Linked DNA regions of Alligator mississippiensis. The protein of the gene in region 2 interacts with the protein of the main gene of each other region in a biochemical or structural test. Links are inferred from orthologs where the notes say so. Each region holds a gene or a part of one and is shown on either strand. Other genes may lie near its edges.

What was found.
Region 1: the proteins of AMFR (region 2) and UBE2G1 form a complex in vitro, tested with the Homo sapiens proteins (7 studies listed by BioGRID, with this or other methods). The link is inferred for Alligator mississippiensis from reciprocal best matches to the Homo sapiens genes AMFR and UBE2G1.

The regions. Positions count from the first base shown.
Region 1 is NC_081837.1:14,258,784-14,262,383, reverse strand, and holds the start of UBE2G1 (ubiquitin-conjugating enzyme E2 G1), read right to left. Parts: upstream 2,561-3,600; 5' UTR 2,458-2,560; coding exon 2,136-2,457; intron 1,884-2,135; exon of another isoform or gene 1,700-1,883; intron 1-1,699. UniProt on the Homo sapiens protein: Accepts ubiquitin from the E1 complex and catalyzes its covalent attachment to other proteins. In vitro catalyzes 'Lys-48'-, as well as 'Lys-63'-linked polyubiquitination. May be involved in degradation of muscle-specific proteins.
Region 2 is NC_081833.1:41,619,105-41,623,045, reverse strand, and holds the start of AMFR (E3 ubiquitin-protein ligase AMFR), read right to left. Parts: upstream 2,869-3,941; 5' UTR 2,800-2,868; coding exon 2,560-2,799; intron 1-2,559. UniProt on the Homo sapiens protein: E3 ubiquitin-protein ligase that mediates the polyubiquitination of lysine and cysteine residues on target proteins, such as CD3D, CYP3A4, CFTR, INSIG1, SOAT2/ACAT2 and APOB for proteasomal degradation.

The sequences.
Region 1 (3,600 bases), on a different chromosome or scaffold from region 2:
GATAGGTAAGTGTATAACCCAAAGCAATTATAAAAACTTTGATCGTGTCAAAAACTAGCCGAATTCCATCCTATGCTATCCAAAGGCACATCTACCGTTATCCAATGTCTCACAAGATACAGGAACACTGGAATATTAATTATTTTGTTTTGAAAGAGAACTAGTATTGTGGGTGAAATACACTGGCCCAGATGAGACTTGGAAGACAACCAGCAGTGAAGGAGGAAGACCTGACCTACCATGAAGCTCAGTCTCAGCATTGAGTTCAAGTGTCCTGCCACGAGTAAGATGAGCATTGACATCTGTAGTAGTCATTCAGTTAGAAAGTCTGTCCATGTTATAACACGAGACAGTCTTCAAGCAGGAACTCTGAATACTCCAAAGACACCTTCCCCTGTAGCACTATAGGATCTTGCACTGGAAATCCACATACAGAATTGCCAACTATGTCGGACACATTGACAATACGGGTTGGCCCATGTCAAATGAGTGCATGTAGCACGGACATTAGGCAGGCCATCTCCCAAGTGCTGAGGGAGCAGTAACCCGTGTTGGCAACTCTGTTATGTTCTTACAGTTGCCCAACTAACATAACTCCTAGCACATGAAATCTTAGTATTAGAAATACAGTCTAAAGCAGAAGTATACATCCATCCGATGATCAACAGGTTAACAAGCCACTATAAATAATTCAACTTCTATACTCAGATACCCACCCTCCAAGTTTACTCAAACTCCTTGAATGAAAGAGTTAGTGTAAAGTTGCCCATCTGGATTTGAAACAGGAATATGGCAGGGATACAGAAGCGTTGTTACCACTCCTTCAAGCAAACAACCATGATTTATTTCTTCTAATTAAAACAAGACAAAACCTCAGAAGACACCACTGTCTTCAACAGCAATACGTCTCGCTCTTTGGTCTCGTAACTCTGAATAGTTACAAGACACATAGCCAAGTTTTGTTTTGATCACAGGGTACTTTGTTCATTTTGCTATGGAGAAATGCCAGCAAATAGAAACAAGAAGTGGAGGAATTATCCAGCCTAATATGTTTATGCTGCAATTACCGAACGTCGCGTCTACGAGATAAAGCCGTGAAAGTGGTCTATTTGCGTCTTTGGCCGACTGAGCGTTTAAACTAGTTCAACTCCATAACCCCAAAAGCTGTACTGAGCAGCTTATTTACTCACATGGCTCCTTTAGAAAGGGCCCATTTAGCAGCCACAGGATTCGGGGCCATATCTATACCCGTTATAACTGACAGCACTTGAGCATGCAGGGACCTTGATGATAGCATCGGCAGAGTAAGTTTCTGCGGCAGCGACGCGTTAAATCACGCACCCCGGCGCTGCCGGCACCCAACTCCTCCTAAGCAACAGGCACGACACGTCGCCACCGCCGAAGACGGGGGCTCATACACACCTGCCGTTTCCTATGAGAGGAGAGAGAGGTTTCACTCCCAAAGCCACCAGCTGCAGTGACTCGGTCCGCTTTTCGGTGAAAGACAACTCCGGAGCGGAGTTATTTTAGAGGCGGAAAGCAGCCGAGCCCCCCGGGGACTGTGTCGCGCCACCTTCCTGGCTACAGCGCCCTGGAGGTGGCCCCACCGTGCCCGCCCCTCCACGCAGGCTCCTGACACACGTGGGCCGGAGCCCGGCCCTCCTCCTCCGGGCTGCGAGGAAGGGGGAGGCGACGAGCCTCGCCTGACACCTTCGCAGCCCCGAGGCCCCCCGCTCGGCTCGGGGCGGAGGGCGGCGGGGCGAGGCCGCAGGGCCGCGGAAGGAGCCCCCCGGGGTCTCTCTCAGATCTGGCAGGAGCGACGCGGAGCCGCGGCTTTGTGCGGCCGCGCATGCTCGCCCCGCGGCCGGGACGGGCCGAGCCAGGTCCGGGCGGCCGCGGACAAAGGGAGGGGACGGGGCCGGCGCTGGGGAGCAGCCGATCGAGGCCCGAACAAAGACCCCGCGGGGCCCGGGCCGCCCAGTCACCGCCCCCCCGCGGGGGGGAACCCCGGCCCGCCCCTCCCCCACCGCGCTGCCCCTCCCCCCATGCCCTACTTCCCTCCGCGCCCCTCCCCCACCCGCCGCGCGCCCGCCCGCCCCGGCCTGGTCCGGCGCCCCCCCCCTCGGCCCGGCTACCTGCGAGTTGCCTCCGCAGTAGCAGCGCGGACTGGAGCTCCGTCATTCTCCCCCTTGCGCCCGGTGCGGAGTCCGGGCGGCGGCGGCTGCTACGACCGAGCGAGGCGGCGGCGGCGAGCCCCGCGCGAGCGCCCCCCCCCGGCTCTGTCCCCACTCCGCCCGTCCGGCCGCCGCAGCCCGCGGGTGCCTGCCGGGCTCCTGCCCGTCGCGCCGAGTCTCCCCCGCGCCGCCGCCGCCTCCCCCCGCCCGCCCGGAATTTCACTGCACTCCGGGCCCCGGCGCGCACGCGCACTACAAGCTCCCGGCCCGGCCGCGCCGCCATCTTGGGGAGGGCCCGTCGGCCCTCTCCGCCGCCATTTTGGGAAGGTCAGCCCTAGGCCCGGGCCCGCGGGGAAAGCGGCGGCAGTGGCGGCACCCGTTTGATAGGAGGGGAAGTTGGAAGAGACCCCCCCCTCCCTCGGCTTAGCACGGCACGTGGCCCCGAGCGGTGCGAAGCTGCCGTCGCCGCCCGTTCCCACAAGCGCGCCCAGGCCTGGCCCGGGACAGCGCAGGTACCGCCCGGATGGGGCGCGCTGGCCCTTTAAGAGGGTCCCGGGCCAGGTGCATTCTGGGAGTCGTGAGCACGAGGTGGGGAGCGCGGGGCATGCTGGGAAGCAGGAGGGTGGCAGCTGCAGCCTGGCACGTGGCCCCTCGAGGGGGAGGGGTGAGTGCGGGGCTGGGGGTGTGGGGCCGCGGGCACCCACCTGGGCAGTGCCCTTGGTGAAGCTTCGCCAGGGGAGCAGCAAGGTTGGGGCCAGAGGGGAAGGCGTTGGGCCGGGCTGGCAGCTGGAGGCTCCCATGTGGGGCCCTGCCCCCTGCCAGGGAGGGGCTCTGCTGCTGCACCTTGCAGCTCCCTCCATGAAACCACCTGCTTTCTCTTTTTCCTCCTCTCCTTTTGTGAGAGGAGGTGTGACCCCATTTTGGCTGCGCGATGAGTCAGCAGTTAATATTAAGGGAGAAGAAACTAGGCTGGAAGGGCAGTTCTGCCAACCTCTGATAGTGGTTAGGCTTTCAGCAAACCCTGCTGCTATTGCTTCCTATATTGCACTGTGGAAGTTGCAGTGCGGGCCGTCGCCCACGTCTGCAGCTGTTGCGCTTGCAGTGCCTTCTGGTACTGTCTCCTCCACTCCTTGCAGCCTTCCCGGGGTCGTCCTGATCCAGGCTGTGTATCCTTAGGTCGTTACATTTAAATAATGCGAGATTTTCGAAATCTGAGACGGGAACCCCTTGTTCTGATCCCACCGATGCTACTGCCAAAGCCTCTTTTAAGGAGGGAGGCAGGTGTGCGGCTTCATTGAAGTATAGTCTCCGATCCCAAATTTTACCTCGTACATGTCAGAACTAGCATCGTTAGATAAATTCACTTAAAAGTGCACCTTGTGCATAGTAATGGGATTAAATTTGCATTTTCTGGCCCCGAGAATTG
Region 2 (3,941 bases):
TTCATATCAGGTCTCAAAATCTAATCAATAAGTTATATACTTTCTGCAACTGCATCAATTCTCTCTTGGATTACAGCTCTTGGCAGTCATTTTAAACTAAAGCCATCAAAAACAGAAAATGCTGAATTGTTTAAACTTATCTCATACTTTTGATGAGCAAAACCTTTTGAATTATGCACATCAAAATACATGAGGAAAAATGTGACAAGAGATTATATTCCAGCAAAATGCACTTTCAAGGGACATTGTAAATTTTTGAAGGACTCTTAAACAGATGAAGCCCCATTTCAAAAATCGGACTCAGGAGGCTCAGCCCCTTGGGTACTTTGGTAAAATTATCCATAACGAACTTAAAAATCATATATTGTAAATAAACATACCCTGGGTTTTTATATTCTATTATTATATTTATATTACATTATCAAACATGAAAAAAAAATAATCTAATTGAAGTATCACGTTCTTTGTTGAGTTTGCATTTCATGAGATCATTAAAATAAATAAAGTAAGTTTCACCCAATAACTGTTATTTCCACTTGCAGGTAATAAGATTGCATGTTTTGATGTGAAACACAACAGAGGATTTACTTTAAAAAAAAAATTATTTAGGCAACTATAGAACAAAACCCCAGCACATTAAACACACAGGAATTGCATGTCATGACATTTTTACAAAGAAATACTACAAGGGTTATAATTGATCACTTGCACTATTTGTGTAAACATTTCTATTGGTGTTAGATTTTGTAAGACCTTGTTTTCACAACTTTTACAATGTGGTTTCAAACACAGGACTCACTTACAAATACTTCCTACAGAGTAGCATGTTTAATATTCTGAGTAGCCTTCTGCCTAATCCCAAAGTGTTACAGGCACCATGACCATTATGTTTTGAGTTCACAGAATCCCTATTATTTTAAATAATGACATTCTAAAATTATGTCACCTAAGAGGAAGACAATTTAACAAGCTAATTACAAAGGTACACTACATTTGAGTCTCTAGTACAAATGAACATTAAATACGGAAGCCAGTTCAAATATTACTATTTTAGTGGACTCAAGGAAAATGACCATTTTGGGGTTGTTTTTTCTAAATCTGGTTCATTTATACTAATGCAACGTAAGTCTTGCCCTGTCAGAGGATCCTTATCCTTTCCCTTGCCTTTTACTTTCCTTTCCCTGAGGGCACCTACACACATGCCCAAAGCCTGCTCCAACATGCTCTAATTAGAATGCATTGTAGCAGACTTGATTATCAAATTGATTCTGCTCACTTGAGCTTTAGTTAAAGTGCCCCATTGCCATTTTGAAACACAGGGAAGCTGCATATATGTGACACCAAGTCTGCTGGAGTGCTCCAATTAGAACACCCCAGCAGCCTAAGTGTCATGTGTATTCAGGGTCTCTGCATTTCAAAACAGCAGTGCTTTAACTAAAGCTTGTCAAACGTGTTTTAGTTAAAGCATCCTCGCTGCCACGTTGAAGCACGGGACACTGAATACACGAGACATTGGAAGTATTTTTATTAGAGCAGCTCCCGAGAGCCACTCTAATTAAAGTGCCTCACCCCACCAACCCCAGAGACCACAAAGGAGTCACCCCTGCCTTTCACAAGTTGCCAACATTGTTCCTTCCCTCCACCAGAACGGTTTCCTAGACAGTAAAAACTGTGTACATTGGATCACCCATAGAAGAACTTGTATTACTTTACTACAAATATCACTTGAAATGTTTGAGGACTGGTCATCTGTGACCCTGTGATACAGACCCCAATCTGAACATTCATTTAGAACAAATTGCTTATCCCCAGCTCCACCCTAGTCGTGTTTTGGGGATGTCCTAGGAGATGCTCAGCCCATACCTATACAAGAACCTATTTCTGAAAAGCAAAGGCCTCAAACATTCCTCTGAACCCCCCCACAGGTAGGTACCAAGCTGCCTTCAAGGCCTTGCCGCACCTTCTTATGAAAACTGGACAGAAACCAACTGTAGGGTTACACATTTTCAAGCACTCCCTTGGGAGCTGGTGGGGTCTTTCTAGGTGGGGGAACATTTGTATGGTGTGAGAATTACTTTACAAGTGAGATCAATCTGCAATGATTGTGCAATTTAACCAATGAATTGCATGATTGATGCAATGCTTGGCAGGGACCCCCTGCCTTACATATGCCATGAATCCATTGGTGAACCGCGCAATAAATTCAGACCAGCCACAGGTGCAAAGTAATCCTCACAACACACAAAGTCCCTGCAGGCAGAGGCACCCCCTGGCTCCCTGAAAGCAGGGAACAACCCTGTGGCCAGTCTGGGCAGCCTTCACGCAGGCCTGCAAGGGCAGCAGGGCTGAGGTCTCCCAGGGCCTGTGCAGGCCTGAGGCAAACCTGCCCGCGCTGGTGGGAACGGGGCAGCCCTGCTCCCGGCTCCCACACGAGCAGCAAAGGCCCAGCCCAGCCCTGCGCCCCCTGCTGAAGCGGCCGGCCCCAGCCTCCGCCCCTCTTGCCCAGACAGAAGCCCCCCGGGCCCAGGGGCCTGTGCAGCCGCCGGTGTCCGTGCTCACCCAGACGCAAAGGCTGTCTGACAGCAGATAGTAGGCGACGTCCAGCGGCAGCGGCCCGGCACGGCTCGGGCTGGGCTGTGGCTCAGGTTGGGGCTGGGGCTCGGGCCCAGGCCAGGCGGCAGGGGCCTGGCTGAGGGCGCGGTAGGCGCTGAGGACGCAGCCGAGCAGCGCCAGGGCGCTGAGCCCCGCGTACGTGCGCAGGCTGGGCCAGGGGAAACGCTCCAGGAACAACAGCGGCATAGCGATCGCGTCTGAGCCCAGCTAGGCCCCGCCACCTCCCAGCGGCCTGCGCGGTCCCCGCTCCCGAGCGCCGCCGCGGCCGGGGGGCGGGGCCATCGGCCCGAGGGGCGGAGCTGGGCTGGGCGGCGAAGCGGCTGAGGCCGGCGCAGACAGAGCGGACATTGGGAGGCCAAGGCCGAGCCCGGCTGATCTCCGGGAGATCTCCCTCTGCGAGCCGGGCCTTTCAGCTGGCTCCGGGCTGCCCGGCCCAGCGAGGACCAGACCCTGCCGCTGTAAAAACTTTTTTCCCTAAGCCTCCCTCCACCTCGCCTCCTGTAACTCGGCGCTGCCCGGGAAAGCGCCTGCTCGGCAGCTCTCACAAAGCTCTTCCCTTAGTCTCACAGCAATCCGGCGGCTCGTCTGAGCCTCGGAGAGGATTATACGATGGAGGGGAGGCAACAGCCGTCCCCGGACAACTTGGATATTGTTATAGGTCAAAAGCATGAAGTGGCTTCAAGAAGGGCTGGGGAGGGGGCTTGTGGGAATAGGAACTCAGGTCTAGGATACTCTGGGTATTTGGGGCCATTTCTACCGACAGTAAGGAGACCTCTGAAAGCAGCAGGAGCCAACTGCATTTCAGGAAAAAACAGTATCCTACACCCTGAGTTGCTGTCAGACTCATGCACAGTAAGTTACCCAGCAAGTCAGTTAACCAAGTTTTATATTAACAAAACCATTAGCCCACACTTGGGTTTTGTCCTTACTTACTAGTACTTGGCAATTTTAAAATGTAACAGTACTATACATTTATTTCTTGCTTTTTTAATATTTGCCGTATACTTTTCAGCACTTCATATTGTGATGTCTGATTACCCATAAGAAATAATCATGGAGCCACACCAGAGCTTGGCCAGCAGGACACTGCTTGCAGCACGTGCACCATGCCAGGCTCCTGTACTACATGCAATGTGTGCAGCTGGTCTATCCCCACATGCCACGTGCAGCACACGCTGGCCCCATTTCAGAGCGCACTTTGCACACCCTCGACAATGCATGCTGAATGGGCAGGTTCCAGACTAGCCCTAAATCATTCCAGTGTGCGTGTGCACAGACATCCGGGCCAGCCCCAGAACCAGCATGCAGAGCTAATCCAACAGAGCACC